Macaca fascicularis: one gene and its partner. The protein of the gene in region 1 purifies or fractionates together with the protein of each later gene. This does not show direct contact. Links are inferred from orthologs where the notes say so. Each region holds a gene or a part of one and is shown on either strand. Other genes may lie near its edges. The genes, in order: ZEB1 and CTBP1.

The links.
Region 2: the proteins of ZEB1 (region 1) and CTBP1 purify together in Homo sapiens (affinity purification with mass spectrometry; 9 studies listed by BioGRID and IntAct, counting the BioPlex papers as one, with this or other methods). This does not show direct contact. The link is inferred for Macaca fascicularis from reciprocal best matches to the Homo sapiens genes ZEB1 and CTBP1.

The regions. Positions count from the first base shown.
Region 1 is NC_088383.1:32,073,481-32,082,223, forward strand, and holds the start of ZEB1 (zinc finger E-box-binding homeobox 1), read left to right. Parts: upstream 1-3,529; 5' UTR 3,530-3,548; coding exon 3,549-3,606; intron 3,607-3,828; exon of another isoform or gene 3,829-5,007; intron 5,008-5,508; exon of another isoform or gene 5,509-5,837; coding exon of another isoform or gene 5,838-5,844; intron 5,845-8,743. UniProt on the Homo sapiens protein: Acts as a transcriptional repressor. Inhibits interleukin-2 (IL-2) gene expression. Enhances or represses the promoter activity of the ATP1A1 gene depending on the quantity of cDNA and on the cell type.
Region 2 is NC_088379.1:1,340,550-1,349,084, reverse strand, and holds the start of CTBP1 (C-terminal-binding protein 1), read left to right. Parts: upstream 1-2,941; 5' UTR 2,942-3,116; coding exon 3,117-3,156; intron 3,157-3,341; exon of another isoform or gene 3,342-4,476; intron 4,477-8,535. UniProt on the Homo sapiens protein: Corepressor targeting diverse transcription regulators such as GLIS2 or BCL6. Has dehydrogenase activity. Involved in controlling the equilibrium between tubular and stacked structures in the Golgi complex.

The DNA of each region.
Region 1 (8,743 bases):
ATCATCCTGTAGTCATGTTTCCTTCCTGACTCAATGACTGCAGAATTTGGTGAGACTGCAACAGTGAAATGACCATTGCCCTTCTTTGTTCCACGGTGAACCACAAATCCAGAATTACCGTAGGTCAGGAGCCATGGTCAGAGCCAAGAATTGAGTAGCGGCTTTATGGGACCTCTAAATTCTGTACTTTGAGGGATAACATGTATCACATTCTTTTCCTTCAAAATCTCTAAGATTAAAATTAGGTATTGAATTCAAGAGTTGCATTTACATGCTATCCTTCCATGAAATTAACCAACTTTAAATTTCGATGAAGACTAGAGAATTATACATTGCACTTCTCAATGTGTTTTGGAAGAGGTATGTGGGAATGATATGCTTCATGTGGATCACCATGAAATCTCTACATTTTAAATTTAAGATAATTTTATGTCAAATTTTATCCTAATTTATACATGATTCATATATGAAAAGCAAATAGCAGGTGCAAAGGGTTTATGAAAAATTTATAGAAAAAACTCAGTATTGGAACTATTTTATCCATTTACATTTTACCCGTAAATTTGGAAGTTAGTATAGCAATTCATTTTTAGAATATCTTCCCTTCAGCATACATAATCCCAGTGCTCAGTAGCAGCAGAGTGTTAACATTTCATTGACATATTAAAAATAAGCATATATATTGCATGTATGCTATATGACAGCACTACAATTACTAAAATCAAGAATGCAGGATACATGTTAAACTCATATATTAGTATCCCCTACCATTGGATTTGAATAAGCCTAAATTTTAATAATCTTCTTTTATAAATAGATTCTAAAGACTTTTCCCCTATTCTTTAGTTATATTTAAGAGATAAGAAGCAACCATCACACATGCATCATGTTTAAAGCAGTAATTTATTCTGAGATTTACTTTCATCTGTTTTCTTTCCAGTCCAGATATCAATATTTTCAAGAACATTACAGTATAATAATCAAACATTAAATTCATAATCTACATACTTATCAGAAGCTTTTACAAAATGGAAATTTTATGTTAGAAGATTTGGGCTACCAGTAATATTCACTGTGCATATTTTAAAAATAAGGTGAAAAGAGTTCATTGTTTAGGGAAAATGATTGTGGAGAAACTAAAATCACGAGCAATTTTAGTCTGGATATTAATGACAGTAATCACTTTCACATCCATGACTCTAGCTGTTCCTAAGGACTAAGGGGATGAAGGCAGATTATGTATCTTACTGTCAAGAACAGGGTCAGAAAAGGTCAACAATATTAATTTAAGAAATGTTTATTAAGCACCTACTATTGGCTACATACTCCACTAGGTGTTGAGGACATAGAAATAAGAAGAAAAAAAAGTTGCCTGAAAAGGTACTTGTCCACAGAGTCTGGCCTAAACTAACTAAACCAGAAGCCACTAAAGGAAGAAAATGACTTCTGTTTGTCTCTTCACTTCATCTCTTTACGAGGTGAGAATGAACACTGAAGGAAGCTGAGAGGGGAGGTATAGGCCAGAGAACATGAGAAAATGCTATTTGTAATACTTCCTAAGTTTAAGAGTAGATAAAATGTGTGCTAGAGTTGGAAAGTTTTTTTTTTTTTTTTCCTTACTGTGGGGGCAATTCCATAGTCTATGACCTGATTCAGTAGGCGACTGAAAAACATTGTACAACTCTTAAAAAGGGAGGAAGAGCTCACACTTAACCAAGCAAAGGACACCGTGTTGACATGCACAAGTTTCGGTTAACATGGTATCGAGGACAGCGAGGACTGCCTGTACTTAAAATGATCATTAAGACTAATGATTCTAGTTTTGGCATTGAGGATGAATGCAGATATATAGTCATCGTGTATAGCAAAGAATATTTACAGTCACATTTCATGGACCAATAAATAATGCATTTACTTCTCAAAATGCCCAAGAAAATGCGGGAGAGAAAATGTTCATCTACATTCAAGATTAAACTTTCTAACTTTAAATCACCAGACTTCAGTTGTAAATTTATTTCAGTTGAAAGGTTTGAAGACATTATTAACGAATATTCTAAAATTCCAGAAAGTGTTCAAAAGATAATTTTAACCTAATAAAAAAATCCTGCCATGATGTGGCAAAAATTGTAAGCATAAATTTATTGAGCACCTATTATGTGTCACTGTACTAGGTGATGTACTACGTTATTTCCAATACTCTGGTCATGTTTCAGTTTTCTCCGTTTCTCTATCAATAACCCCTACATTGTTAATTTATAACTATAGTATTTGGCATACAGCTCATTTATTCCATAAAGTTGGTCCCAAAGACGTTTCCTTATTCGAAGGAGGTGGGAAGCAGGAAGGAAACCTAAATCTAAATTCTACTGAACACTGAAGACAACTTTCTTGATATTTGTGGTTATCTGCGTGGTCTTTTCAGAAATCCCCAAACTTGTACCAAGTCAAGGATAAAATAAGATAAAATCAGCAATCTGTCAGGTTCAGAGATCACATCTGTCAGCCGATGCTTCTTGCCTTAAGGTCCTGCACAGCGATGACCGCTAATTTAGGAAGGAATTCATGGCCTGTGGATACAGGCTTAGCTCTGAGTCCTGCCGCCTAGGATCCCAGGGATCTATGCGAGGAGGAGGGCGGGGAGGGCGGACCGGGTGGGGGAGGCCGAGGTGACAGCAGGTGAGGGCCGGGTGCCGATGGGGAAGTGAGACAAGCACCGTGTGGGTATTACTCATTCCGCTCTACTAACGAGGCTGCTGGCAAGCGGAACTTCTAGCCTCTCTTTCAGTCCAGCTGAAGTTCAATCTCATTGAAGTCACTTCCCATCCTGGTTCGCTTGGGGGGAAACCGGGCGTCCCTGGAAGGGAAGGGAAGGGAGTCCGGGCTGCGCGGGTCAGGTAGCCTCTCTCCGGGCGCCGCATGTCCTCGCCGTCCCCGAAACTGCCCTTCCCCTCTTCAAGGGAACTCCCCGGGGAGTCCAGACCGCGATCCCTTTCCTTGGCCCCGGGGTGCGCGGGGCTGACACGCGAGGCGTGGGACTGATGGTAGCCCTGCCTCCAGGAAGCAGGCAGGCGGGGACCTCTGGGCGCTCGGAGGGGCAGCTCCGAGGGCACAGGGTCCAGAGAGAATCAGCCAGATCTCTCCCTGCCCAGGGCAGCCGCGGCGGGTGTGGCCAGCGCGGAGGCAGGACGCCGCCGAGCCTCCAACTTTACCTTTCCAACTCCGACAGCCCGTCGCCTTTCTGACCACGTCCCCACGGTTTCCCAACACCCGCCTCCCTCACCCCACCACACCTGAGGAAAACTTTTCCCTCGCCCCTCAATTCAAATTCACCAGTGCCCACGGTTGCCGCAAACCGCCCAGTCCCTAGCAACAAGGTTCCGGCCGTAGAGCGAGCGCCTCTAGGTGTAAGGAAGGTGATGTCGTAAAGCCGGGAGTGTCGTAAACCAGGTGCGGTGGGGAGGGGGGAGGGGTGGAGGCGGAGGGGTGGGGGGGAAGGGGGAGGGAGGGGGAGGAGGTGACTCGAGCATTTAGACACAAGCGAGAGGATCATGGCGGATGGCCCCAGGTGTAAGCGCAGAAAGCAGGCGAACCCGCGGCGCAATAACGGTGAGTGGCGGAGGGGACCGGGGAGCAGCGGAGTCAGGGGGAGCCGGGCAGCCGGGGCGCCCCCGGGGGTGAGAGGGGCGAGCCGGGCTGGGGGCGGCCGGGGCAGGGACGGCAAAGTGGAGTGGGAAAGTAGAAAGTAGTGCTCTCTGCCCCCCTCCGCTGCCGTCGCTGCCGGAGCCGCGCCGCGGCCGCTCGCTCTCCCTGAACCGTTATGTCTCTTACCTGGTCTCTCTCCGCCTAGCGGCTCCAGCCGCCCCTGCCGCCTCCCTGGACCGTTAGCCGCCGCCGGCGCCGCCGCATCCCCGGCGCAGGGCGGGCGGCCGGGACGCGCTGGCCACTTTTCTGGTCCCGGGTGGAGCGGCTGTTGCTTCTTTCGGCACTTTTCCCCACTCTTGTACCCTTCGGCGCCTCCCTCTGCACTTCCTCCCGGCCCCCTCGGCGGGATTCTCCCTCAGCGCCCAAGCACCCGGGAGCCGCAGAACAAACTTGTGCCCGGCGCTGACCGTGCAAAGTGGCTTCCGCGCGCCGCGGCCCCGGCTGGCGCCGTCGTTCGGGCCCCGCGACTCGGGCCGGGCTGTGGGCGCGCGGCGGGCGGGCGGCGGCGGGACGGGACGACCGCGGGTTGCGTGGGGTCCGTGCGCGCGTGTGCGCGGGCGCCGGCGGTGCGCGCCGCGGGCGGACAGGGCTTGGCCGGCGGCGGTAAAGTTGGGACCCGCGGGCCGGGCGCGCTCGCGGAACGGGGATTAGAGGCGGGGGCGCGGGTTCCTAAGCGCCCCTCCTTTCCGGCGCCTCCCGCCGCCGGGCCCAGAGCCCCGGCCTGGGGACTCCGCTACGAGCCCCGCGATTGGGGTCCACGTTTGGCGGGGCGCGGCGGGGAGGCGCGGGGACAGGGCAGGAAAGGCACCTACTTAACGCCACCGGGAGCCGCGCGGATGGAGGCGAGCTGGGCGGCGGGTGTGTTTGCGGAGTTGTTACCTGGGCTTAGAGACCGGGAAGCACCACAGACAGATCCCCCTCCCGGGGCAGACGCGGTCTCTGCGCCGGGATGGGCCGGTGTGCGTGCGCCTCTCGCTTTTCTCTTTCGCTTTTTGGGGAAGTTGTTACCTGGGCCGGACGCACGGAGCGCTGAAGCCGGATAATGGGGCTTGGATGGCGCTCTGGGTCTCGGGTGGAAGGAGGGTGGGGGGAGGGGGCGGACGGACCGACGGACGCGCGGGGCTGCTACTCGCGCCGCAGCTGCAGTGTTTATTGATTTGTGCTGCTGTGCCAGGGGAAACACACACCCCTCTGCCTGGCGTGAGAGTTAAAAAAAAGAGAGAGAGAGACACACAGCCCGAGGGATCGAGACCTGAACATGTGGTGGTGGTTGCACAGTCGCCTTTTCCAGTTTGGAGAGACGTTGTAAGTTGATTGTATTTCTGGTTATCTCGGGGCGATGCTGTGCTTTCTCTCCCTCTCGTGCAGCAGGGAAATGTCTGCTGATTGTTATTGTCTGGACAGTTCCTGTGGCGAGAGGGGCGAGACTTGTCCGCCCGGGGGCGGCGGGAGCGCGGGGAGAGCAGCCCCCGCCAGCGCCGCCCGGGTACCTGTTTGTATAATAATGGGCGGCAACGGCCCTGCCGCCGGCCGCAGCCCAGGCTATATAAGGAATTACACGTACATTTCGGACCGAGGGGCTCGCTTTGGTTCCTGCGTTATTTTTAAAACGACTTTTAAGAGAGGGGCAATAAATGCGTCTATAATGGGACCGCTGCAGCGTCGAGAAAACGAGGAAATACGTATTTAGGAGAAAACTCTCTCTTGCTCCCCCGCCCCACCCCCCGCGCCTGGGCTCCCTTTCTCCCTCCCCTCTGGGATGCGAAACGCGAGGTTTTGTAACCTTTCCTGGCAATTTTAGATTTTGTGTGGGATTTCCTGTCTAGAAGCAGATACGAAGATTTTTAAGCTGTTTCAAGATGTTTCCTTTCAATCCATAAATATGTTTTTAATATATTCGAGTCGACATTAAAATCACTGCTTTCATGAGTGATTTTAATTATTCAAATAAACACTTGCATTTTAAAGACGTATATTGATTATAATCGAAAGGTATTTTGGTATCCTCATTGTGGAGAGATGACTTGTTATAGCAAGGAGTGGAGCATAGGCTATTGCAATTTTAATTTCCTGTTTTAGCGTCAAATAGTGTGTGTTCTATATTGAGCTGTTGCCGCTGTTGCTGATGTGGCTTTATGAAAGGTAAGTTGGTTCGGAAAGAGCTGTTCGCTTTTTACCTTATTTAAAATGTTGATCGCCAGAGAAAGGGGCTTTTCTTGTTGCTGACGACATGTGTGTGACATGTGAGTCTGAACCACCCAGCGTCTGTGCAGCTGCTGTAAACATGTTTACCTGAACAGGAAAGAATGGATTTTTCTCCTTAAGATCCTGTGATATGAATATTACACTTGTAAGGCATATCAACAGATGACTTAAGGGGGGAAAAGCGATCCTGAAAGGTACTTGAAATCAAGAAGAAAAAGAGGTTCTTGATCGCTGCAGCAAATGGCAACTTGTGCAGGTAGAAAAAAGATGGTGTTTAGTTTTCTCCTGCATGTATGTCAGCCCCCTCCTGTCTGCTGCTTTCATTCTCAAGGGAGGGATTTATTTACCATGCTTGATGTCAGTGTTTTTCCTTTGTGTTTAATATTAGAAAAACAGATTTGCGTCTGTTTAGCACAAAACGTCTTGTCTGCAGTATGCATTACTCTCAGAAAACAAAAGGTGTTTAAGGTAGCACTGTACTACTACAGGTATCTTCCATTTTCATCACTTTTGGCTCTGTCCTTGTATTTCTTTTTGTTCTCAAATGCATTTCATCCATTGCTGGTGATTGTAGTCATGCTATTTGATTTAGCCTTATATTTTGCAAATTAAAAATGAAGTTATATTCCATTGTGTTGTGAAACCTCAGTATATGTGCTGGTTAATATTTCTTAGCAGTGCAGTCATATTTAAGTTGCAGATGTTTATTGGAGAGAATTGCCTGGCAAAATGTTAACTCTCAAATCTTTTTAATGAAGAAATACGTGATGTATACAGTGGAAGATTGTCATAGAGAGATACTTTATGTTGTTTTTTATATATGTAAATGTCTTATTCATTTTGAAATAAGATATGTGGATTTTGCTGCTAAGGCTTCTGTAAAATATTTTAATTTCCTTTCTGGAATATGTCTGAAGGTAAGATATTAAAGGGAGTATCAGGTAATGTAACTGACAGGGGTAAACCAGTTGGGTAAGGTTTGGCCAAAGCATCAAGCCTTGTGTGGTAACTTTATGATAATGTTAGTCATCCATAAAGGAGTGATATTAGAATTGCTGGAATTAGTTTTTACCATTTATAATTTCATGCTTTGTTGTGTTTTAAAAATCTGTCTTTTCTCTTTTTCTGCTTTCTTCTATGTGGTTTTCTTCTTCTTCCTTTTTTTTTTTTTTTTTTGAGAGAGAGAGAGAGATGTACTCTAGCTACTAATGACCACATGCTAATTAATTCTCTTTAGATGGAATAGCAGGTACATATCCTTCTGTCATCAGCACCATTTCCCCTTGCTGTCATTGGAAACCACCAGTAGAGGATGCTAACAAAAATGATTATTGGTGTAGTAGTATCATAAGTCTCTCTATCTACTGTGCTGATTGGGACCTTCAGTATAATTCTAAGTCTTATTGTTAATTAAAACTAGCCTTGGTTAAATTAGGCATAGGCATTTTCTAGTTTGCCAAAACTAGAAAGAAGCAGGACTGTTTTAACTTGAATAATTTTATAAATTTGAGTTATTTAAGTCTCTAATTGAGGTTGCTACTAATTCATTTTTGTTTTAGAGCAGTTGCATCACTCCTTATTTTAAAAAGGTTTTGTTTTATGTTCTTAGGTTTGGAGAAGAATATGTAATAATTGACCCATATTTATTTTGTGTATTTAGAATACTTTTTAATCATCCCTTTTTAAAATTAATAGTAAGATCCCTTAAAATACATATTTTAGATGTTAAAATACATCTAAAATGGTAAAAGTTTAAGAGTAGTAAGAATTACAATTGATTGATAATACTATAATTATTTTTATATAACTTATGTAGACTTAGACTATGGATGGGTTGGCAGAGAGCTACTAAAGGAGGTGGTAACTAGCAGTCACTCAGATGTTAGCGATTTTTAGATTTTATCTTTTCCTTCCCCTTCAGGTCTTTTCCTACTGGTAGTGCTCCCCGACCTCTTTAGTTAAGAATCAGTTATTGCATAGTCATACGTTTTAAATTTGTCAGTTGTAAATTAAGAATATAAGTTTGCTTTGAGATCTTAAATGCAGTAAAAAGTCTCTGTAGTTCGTTCGTTGCTGTATGGTTGTATTAAAATAACTCCTTTCAACAAACTATAAATTGCATATAAATAATTGCATGAGACAGTGTATTTAGTTATGTCTTTTCATTTTGTGTCCTTATAGGTATATTAATATAACTGTAAATTTTAAGCCTCTCATTAAGTAGAACATTAAAGTATTTATTTCCTTAATTATTTGTAGTGGTGTTTCTATAAATGCATCAATATCAGTACCATAATGGGATAGCCATAGTGTTTATCTTGAACTAAGTAGGTATTGAATTGCCAGGTAAGCCTGTGTTAATTTCTTATTTTAGGATGTCATGGTTATTCGTGTGTGTGTGTAAATAGTTTTTCATTTCCTGACAGGTATTTATTTAATTTAGTATTCTAATTCCTGAGGGCTCAGTAGTGAATAGGTGTGATTCACTTACATGTTTATGAACTCAGAAACTTGGCCACAAAGTCACGAGATACATTGTAGCATGGAGCAAAACTTAAAGTATCTTATAAATTGAAAGTATTAATCATTTATTAAGATGACCCTGATATAAAAAGCATGTGAAATATTTGTTTAGTACTGTTTTCTTCCTTTCTCTAGTCTCCAGTATGTTTGAAATGGTATACCCTCCTATGTAGTAGCTTTTGAAGCATGTGCTGAGAAACTTCTGTTAAATTGAGAATTATATTTTTAAAATGACAGCATAATGATGTCTCATAGGTTTTTATTTTGCTTTTTCCTCCTTTTGGATTTACCTGTATAAATCACTTTTAAGCAT
Region 2 (8,535 bases), on another chromosome or scaffold:
TGACTGACACCACCAGTGGTTTCCTTTAACACCTCATCAACGTTCCCAGGCACTTTTTGTATTTGAGGTATGTGAAGTAATAGGGTGGCCGTTGTCCTGAGTGTGATCCTGAACACACCGACTGATAAAATGGGGGCCTTTGGCTGCACACCAGACGCTCTGGGTACTGATGAGCTCGCCCCCGACTCTGCCAGAAATCAGAACGGTGGTCCAGGAGAGTTAGCAGAAAGAGGAGGAACCAGACGCAGTGATCTACCTGGTTTGTCCTGGTGTCAAGTAACTTGGAGTTTTTCTTTCACACGTGGCTGGTACACAGGAGCACTCATAAATACCCGAGTTGAATAATATAGTCCATTGACCTGGAGTTGCATGAAGCAGCATTCATCCATCCAAAATGCCGATGCTTCTTCAGAATGTACTGAATTTTCCCCCAATCCTAGGTTGTCCCACGTGATGGACAAAAATACCCCGTGTGGGAATGAAGGCTGGCCGGGGGGAACCTGGTGCCCAGGCCTCTGGCATCCCCACCAAGGTGACTCTCCAGCAGCTCCTAGGACAGCCCATCCGTGTAGGGCAAACGCCACGAGACCCTCCTGTGTGCAGGCACATGACAGGCCCAGGCACAGGGAGGCAGGTGGGCAGGCACAAGAGCAGCCAAACACTGACCCTGGAGGGCGGGGGTCATCTGCTCATCATGGCAAGGACTGGAAGTGGGAGAGGCAGGCAGCGCCCACTGGGGTTGGGACGAGCTGTGCACACGGCTGGGTGCACACAAAGCTGAGGCTTCTTTGTGAGCAACACAGTCACATTTGGGTGTAGGAATCTTGGCTGGAGTTGCCCAACGTGGGGAGCAGACAGCTCTGCAGCCAGAATCACAGCTGGAGAAGGAAGCACTTGGAACAAGCCAGGACAGTGGGACGGGCCAGGGCCAAATAAGAGTCGTGATAACGCACTGACAAGTTGTGCAGAGGGACACTGTGCAGACGGAGGCCATGGGGCGTGCTGATGGGGAAGACGATGGATCCCTGGCTGGCATGCATCCCTCTCCGTTCTTAGTTGCCTGTGGAATTCCAGCGAGCTCTGCTCCAGCTACACTGGACATAAAAGTGCGCAGGAAATGGATCCTGGAGAGGAACTGCTCTTCTGGACTGAGCTTGCTGCTCAGGGCAGCCTCACCTACAGGACCCAAAGCCTTATGTGATGTTTGCTGGACACTCAGCCACGTGGCTGCCTGTTGAGCTCTGCCAGTCCACGTGGGAGCCAGGAATTTCTCCCCAGAAGCCTCTCCATTTTATTCACCAATGCCCAGTAAATCACAACCTGACTTGCTGCAGAGGATGGAGTGCCTGGGACCCGTCTGTCCCCAGCTTCCCTGGGGAAAAAGGGAGTGGCATGTCCCTGCTGCCTTCTGGGCTGCCTGTCCATGCAGAGCAGATAGGAAAGTCCAGTGAGGTCCCTGCCTGTGCACTCCACCAACCACATCATCCCTTCCCAGCAGCCTCACCTAGGCCCCTCCATCTGTGACCCCTTGTCCCCTGCACCGATGTCTGGCCTTGGAGGTTGCTGCTCATTTTTCTGGAATTTTCTTAGATCTCTGCAGGGCTGCCCCTCCCCCTACAAGGGCTCCACACGTGTTCCCTCCTTCATGACTCCCACTGGGCTTCCCTGACAGGGCCCCACCCTCCCCAAAGCTCTGGTGATACCTGCCAGGTTTCCTCCAGGCCACAGCTGGGCAGCCCGGTCTTAGAACAGAAAGTGGTACGCATGGCAGGCCCGACTGAGGGCCCAGCACTGTCAGTGGGGTCAGAGGTCTTCCCAGGCCTGGAAGGGCAGACATGGGCTTCTCAGGGCAGCCTAGGACGCGTCCTCACGAACCACAGCGAAACTAGAGCAGGTGTCTCTCGGATAGGAGTCTGCATCATTCCGTCTCCAGGCTGTGGTTTCTCAAATTATGCAACTATCTGATCATTCCAGTGTGCTCAGAGTAGCCACGCGCAGAGGCCCTTCCCACAACTCCCCACGGGGTGGATGGAAGCGTCCACTCGCGGCGCGAGGAATATCCCTGGGCCCCTCGGGAGAGTCTGCAGGGGCAGCCCCTGGGTGAGCAGGCCCGGTGCGGCCTCTCCCTGAAGGGACTTTCGGGCCCTCCCGGGTCGGGGCGTTTCCCGCAGCGGGCAGAAGCAGAGCTGGCTACAAACCCTACTCTTGTTAAAGGAGAAACGGGGTCGAGAAGGGGGTTCTCCAGCCCTGAACTTCCCGGGCCGGGAACAGCGCGCTGGGCCGGGCAGAACGCGGCCCCTCCCGGAGTCGGGGTCCCCCCCGGCTGGGGACGAACTGGGGCGGGCGCGCTTCTCCTCCCGGGGCCCCATGTGCGGCCGGCTCTTGGACGGTAAATCAGGGCTCGGGTGGGGGCGATGGGGGGAACCCGCGGCCTCGGTGCCCCTGGCCAGCCCCGGGGACAGCGGCACCGCAAGGACAAGTCTTCGGAGGCGCACGGGCCAGGCCGCGGGGCCAGAAGCGAGCGGGGGAGGGCGGCGGCTGGCGGGGCGGGAAGGGAGCGGGGCGGCCGCTGCGCGGAGGAGCGCCATTTACGTTCGGGTCCGTTCCGGGCGCTGACGTGGGCGACCCTGCCTCGGCTTCCGGGCCCGGCGCCGTCCCGCAGGGGGCCTCGGGGCGGGCGGCGCTCCTGCCAGCGGTGCTGAGCCCGGCCCGACCCTGCCCGCCTTCCTCCGGGACAGGCGGTTTAGAACGTGCGGAACACCGGGCCTCGGGCCTCCGCCGGGCTGCAGGCCCCGTGAGCTTCCCGCCAGGCTCCCGCCCCGCCCCGCAGCCGCGCCCGGCCGGGCGGGCCCTGAGCCGCCCGCGTGAGTCCGTGCGCCGCCCGCGCCGGGAACCAGGAGACCAACCGCGAGGCCCCGCCCGCGCGCGCCGCCGTGTCCCCGCCCGCGCGGTCGTCGGAGCGCGGCTCAGCGGCGCGGCGGAGGCTCGGCACGGCGGCGGCCAGGCGCAGGCGAGCGGGCGGAGCAGCGGACGGCACCGAGGCCGCCCCACGCGCCGGACTCGCGGCGGCGCAGCGCGCCGGAGTGGTCGGGGCCCGCGGCCGCTCGCGCCTCTCGATGGGCAGCTCGCACTTGCTCAACAAGGGCCTGCCGCTCGGTAAGGCCGCGCGCGCGCGCGTTTCCGGCCGCGGGCGGGGGCGGGGCGGGGCGGGGGCCGCGCGGGCGGGGGGCGCGGGGGCGGGCCGAGCGCGCGCCCGCGGGCCGCCGGCTTTGTGTGCGAGTGCGCGTGCGCGCCGTCGTCCGCGCGTGGCCGCGGTCGGGGGCGGGACCGCGGCAAGGGTCGTGCGCATGCGCGGGCCGCTGCGTGTGAGCGAGCGCCGCCGTGTGCACTCCCCGCCCGCGGCCCGCGCAGGTGACACAAAGGGGCCCGTGGGCCTCCAGGCTGCTCCACCGACCCCAGCCCCATGGGACCCGGGACGGCACCCCGAGTCCCGAGTCCCGATCCCCGGCCGCTACCCCGTCCCCGGTCACGACCCCGCGGCTGGGCCTGCGGGACCGGGGTGGGAGCTGCGCCGTGCGCAGCTACGGGTGTCCTGGGGAGCGCGCTCCCGGGCCACTCGCGGGAGCGCGCCCCCTCCCGCCCTGAGGCTGCCGGCGACCGCGGCCGCGCGCTGTGGGGGAAGGGGACGGGGCCTGGGCGCCGGGTCTGACCGTGGAGGAGGCCGCCGCCCTCAGACCGGGCCCAAAGCGCAGCCCCCGGCGGTGACGCGGGCGGTCCCCGGGGGTCTCCGCTCCCGCGAACTCCGCGAGGGCCCGGCCCGGCCCGGCGCCTCCACCTGCCTCTGCCTGTGCCGGCCCGGGTCCCGGGGCGCCTTCCTCGCCGGCTGCGGCCCCGGAAGCAGGGAGCACGGGCGGACGCCGGGCGCACGGCCATCGCCATCTTGCAGCGCCCGCATCCTGGGCCGGCCCGGGCCGCTCCGCGGAGCCTCTCTCTCCCTCGACACGGCTGCAAAGGCAGAGCCCGCGCGCTTGATCCCCGGGCCAAAGCTGGAGCGTTCTCTGGCGGCCTCCAAGGGCATCGGTGTCCAGAAGCCCGGCCGGGGCCAGAGCCCTTTTGCTGTAGTCTCCGCGATTGCCGGGACAGAATTCCCTTCCAGTGGGGAAAAGGGAAGGCGGTCGCGCCCTTCCCGGTGCCCTGAGTGGGGAGGTGAAACCCTGAGAGTTGGGGCTAGAGGGCCCGGAGCCAGGGCCGAGGCGGCGGGTGCGCAGGGTGCTCCGTGGAGCCCGAGCACCCCCAGCCAAGTCCTCTCCACCGTTTCTGTAGGAGCTCGGCAGGGAGCACAAGTCCGTCGGGAAGAAAACGGCGCTGGTGGCTGGGCCCGCGCCGCGGGCGTCCTCGCTGAGCTCCTAGCGCATGGCCTGTGCGCGTCTGTGTACCCGTCTGCGGCTTGGGGCAGGGTTGGGGCAGCACCGTGGGGTAACTATTTGCCGTTGCAGCTGAGGATGACAGCTGCGGTTTGGGGGTCTCTCGTTCTGTGTCCTGGAACTTTGTAGGGCGTGGCTCTGCCCTGGGCCTCAGCACCAGGTCTCCCCTGCCCGCCCAGGCCTGGCCACCTCCCTCTGGGGTCTGGGTTTGGCTCCTGGTTGGCACTGTCAGCTCTGCAGACGCGTTTTGCCCTCTGTGATTCTGTCGCCCATCTTTGAGCACCTGCTTCCATGCTGGCGTCCTCTGCAGAACTCTGGGAGGGACATGCAGTGGGGGCTGCATCTGCTCACTGCCCGGGGTGCCTTGTCCACCTGCCTGGCCGTTTTTGAGGTGTCTGCCATGTCCGCAGCATGTACTTCGTCCTGTCAGCCTTGACCAGGGCAGCTGTTAGTTCTGAGAGGTGGACATGTGGTTGGGAATGTCAGTGAGTAGGATCTTCCCTTTTGCACACTTGTCATTAACCTGAGAACATGGCAGTGGGGGAGGGGAGGTTTGGCCCCGGGTGCACGGGACTGTGGGCTGGTCCTGTCCGTCTGCTGAGTGGGATGGGCCTTGGCCCAGTCCTGTGGGCTTGGCGCAGAACCGACCCCAGCCACATCCTGGGGAGATTGGAGGTGCTGGCTGGTCCTGTCTGCCTCCTCCAAGGGCTGGGAGCCCCCCACTCTTTGGACGTTTGTAGTGTAAGGTTCCATTATCCAGCAGACAGCCACTGTTAACAGTCACTCTGTTAATAAGTTTTTTCTGGAGGAACCCTGGACAGAAGTAGTCACGCTCTGCAGGAAACGGGTCCCAGGCTCGAGAGGCCTAGTCTCTTCCTTTGGAGCTCAGAGGTGGCTGTTCAGCCACACCTGGCTCGCCTGGCAGTTTTTCTCCTCTGACTGTAACTAGCCCTTTCAACTTCCTGTGGCCACTGCCCCCAGAGTGTGACCTGGTCTGAGCTGATGGTGGCGTCCCTGAGCCAAGAGGCGTACGGCTGGTACCACTAGTGTTGCTGAGAACCCTTCAGGCAGCGTTCTGTGCCTGGCTGTGCCCTGGCGCTCCCCACGCAGTGCCCAAGTCAAAGGCGTGTGCCCTGTGAGGTGTTTACCCGAGTGACTCTCCTTCCAGAAGGACTTCTTGTTTTCCCCTCCACTCAGGGCTGGAGAGGGCTCCGTACGGGTGGTGCTGACGGTGCAGGCCTGGCTCAGGGCCCAGGGGTGGCCAGGAGGTGGTGGAGGCAGCAGGTGGTGTCCTCCGGGTTCTGTGGTTGAACTGCATCGCCTGAGGGAACGCTGGTCAGAGTACCGGGGTCCTCTGGTGGTCGCTGGATTTTGGTAGTTGTGGGTAGGAGCTCTGTGCTGGGAGTGTCTGGCCCCCCAGGTCCTCCATTGTCGGCTGCAGTGGCCAGGGCCCACTACTCTCCCCCACACTGGGTGGGGGTAACCCACAAGATGCCACCTGCATCACTGACCGTCCCTTCCAGAAGCCCGTCCAGCCACACACTCCATGTGGTATCTCCCACGAGGAAACGTTCAGTTTTTTCCTGTAAAGTCAGAAATCTCTTGGGTGGCCTTTTGTCAAGCCAAACATTAACCTTGAGTTGTCTCTCTGGGTGGCCAGGCGGTGCCAGTTCTTATGTGCGTTGAAGGAAGAGTGAGGATGGCCCTGAGGGAAGCCCAGTTGGTTTGGATGGGGAGGAGTTGGGGCTACGGCCCTGAGAGAGGTGTGGGTGGTGTTGGGACCAGGCCCCTTCTGCACCCTCCCCTGGCACCGCCATCAACTCCCCAGGCCTAGTGTGGCCCATGCCACCCTGCCCACCCATGCCACCCTGCCCGCCCATGCCACCCTGCCCCGCCACCCGTGTCACCCTGCCCACCCGTGTCACCCTGACCTGCCACCCATCTGTGGTGTGAGGGCTGCTGGGCTGCCCTGTCTGCATGGCTGGCGTGAGCCTCAGAGGCGTCTGAGGCTGCCTCTCGAGTGGTGTCATGTGTAGAGTGTCCTGTTGAGAAGGAGAGGAAGGGTGTAGCCCTGATACCCCACGCGTGGTAGGAGCCGGGAAGGTGGTGTTCTGGGGGTCCTGGAGCTCACAGGGCATGTGCATGTGCTCCCTGAATAAACAGGGAAACGTACGGCTCCACGGGTGTCCTGGAGAGGAATCTTGCTGGCAAATCCGTGCCTTTGATCGCAGCCCCTACACTGTGTCCTCTGAGCTGTGATGCGGCCCCACAGGCCCTGTGGAGTACTGTGGCTCCCTGGCTCACAGGGATGCCGTCGTTGGAGGTGCCGTAACGGCTCGTGGGTGACTTGGGCGGTGTCCGTCTGGGGTGCTGTCATCGGAGGACCTGTATCAGTCCATGGGTGACGGGCGGTGTCTGTCTGAGGGAGGTTCTGGTGGCCCCATGCTCTCAGCCCAGTGGCTCCACGCTGCTGTGTAGTCCTTCTTGAGGGCCTGCCTTCTCTGCCGTTGAAGGGCAGGGGCTCAGTTCCCTCTGGGTGGCAGGCGGCTGTATCTCAGGACCGGAAGGCTCCGGGTCAGGCTGTGCACAGCCTTCGTTCATGTCAGCTCCTGGCTGGGCAGCACAGGGGCCTCCAGGCCTGGACAGCCAAGGGGGGCATCTCACCAGTGCCCAGATGGCTGTGCTGGGGACTTGTGGCAGGACAGCTTTGTCATAAGATGGCCACTCGAGCCTGGAGTAATCAGGGCTTACGGGGACAGGGCGGGGTGAGGGCTGGTGAGACTGCCCAGCCTGAGGGTGCCCTTCTGGTGGTTGGGGAGCTCCTTCCTGGGCAGCGGCTTTAGGGGCTGCTGTGGAGAGGGAGAGGTGAGGTTGGTGAGGAGGGGCTTTTGGGACACACTGTCCTGGTAGAGGCTGTGGGGAGGGGAGCATACAGTTGGCCCAGCAGGGCTGGCCAGTGGAGGCACGTGGAGGGTTGGTGGCCGCCGAGCCTGGGTCTGAGCAAGCGGGGATGGAGACCAGGTACCGAGGCTGGGGAAGGAACGGGGGCAGCCGCTTGGTCCTGGCACATCTTGGGGTCCCCTGGGACTTCCTGGGAACCCCAGTGCCCAGAGACCCACTGTGGCTGTCTGGCGGGGGGGCAGGTCCCAGCCCGTGGTGACCCCCAGTGTGCCAGGGCAACCCTGGTCCCTCTCCAGAGTGGACCAATGCCCAGCACACACGTGGTTCAGGGCCGAGTGGGCAGGCATGGCCAACAGGAGGGAGGATCCAGCAAGCAGCTGGTGATGTGTGTCCAGAGACAGGGTGTTGACATGTGGCCAAGAGGTTCTGGGGTCATCAGGCCGCCACCGTGCAGCCCCCACCCCAGGACTTGATGGCTCCAGAGAACCTGGGGGCTGCTGCCCTCACCTCACCCCAATTTTCTTTAAAATGAATTTTTATTTTAGAACAGTCTTAGCTTTATAGGAAAATAGGAAGCTAGCGCAAGCTTCCCACGTGCGCTGCACTCACTCCCCTCGTGGGTCTGTTGAGTGCTTTCTTATAACGTAAGGTTAAGCGTCTGCAGGGTGAGAACCTGGAGACTGTCCTTGTGTTGCTGTGCTGAGAGCCGTGTGTGGCTGTGAGTTTTTGATGAGGAAAAGCAGTGTGGGTCCTGGGTTTGGACAGCGCAGGCCCCTCTGGGAGCCGAGTGCCTTCACCTCGGAGCGTGTGGGGGAGGTACAGAGCTGGAGCCCTTGACCTTGACCCAGCCAGGAAGGCCGTAGGAGGTCAGCTCCCTGGCGTGAGGTGCCCAGGGCCTCCGGCGTCACCCTGGGTGGGGGCTCCAGGACTTGGACGCTGGCTGTCAGCGGGGCAGGTGTGGCCCAGCAGGGGGCTGCTTTGTGGGTGCACTGTGGCCCCAGGATGGTGCAGATGGTGGGCAGACCTGCCCCAGGGCTGTTTCTGAGACAGAGGCCCCTGGAGGAGAACCAGGTGCTGGGCCTCAGGTGTCTGTTCTGAACTGGGGCAGCCTTGGAACAAGGAGCCACAGGAGGTCCCTGTGGCACGGGGCCCTGGCAGGGCCACCCCGGGGAGTGCAGGGCCACAGGAGTCCTGCCGCAGGTTCCTCGGC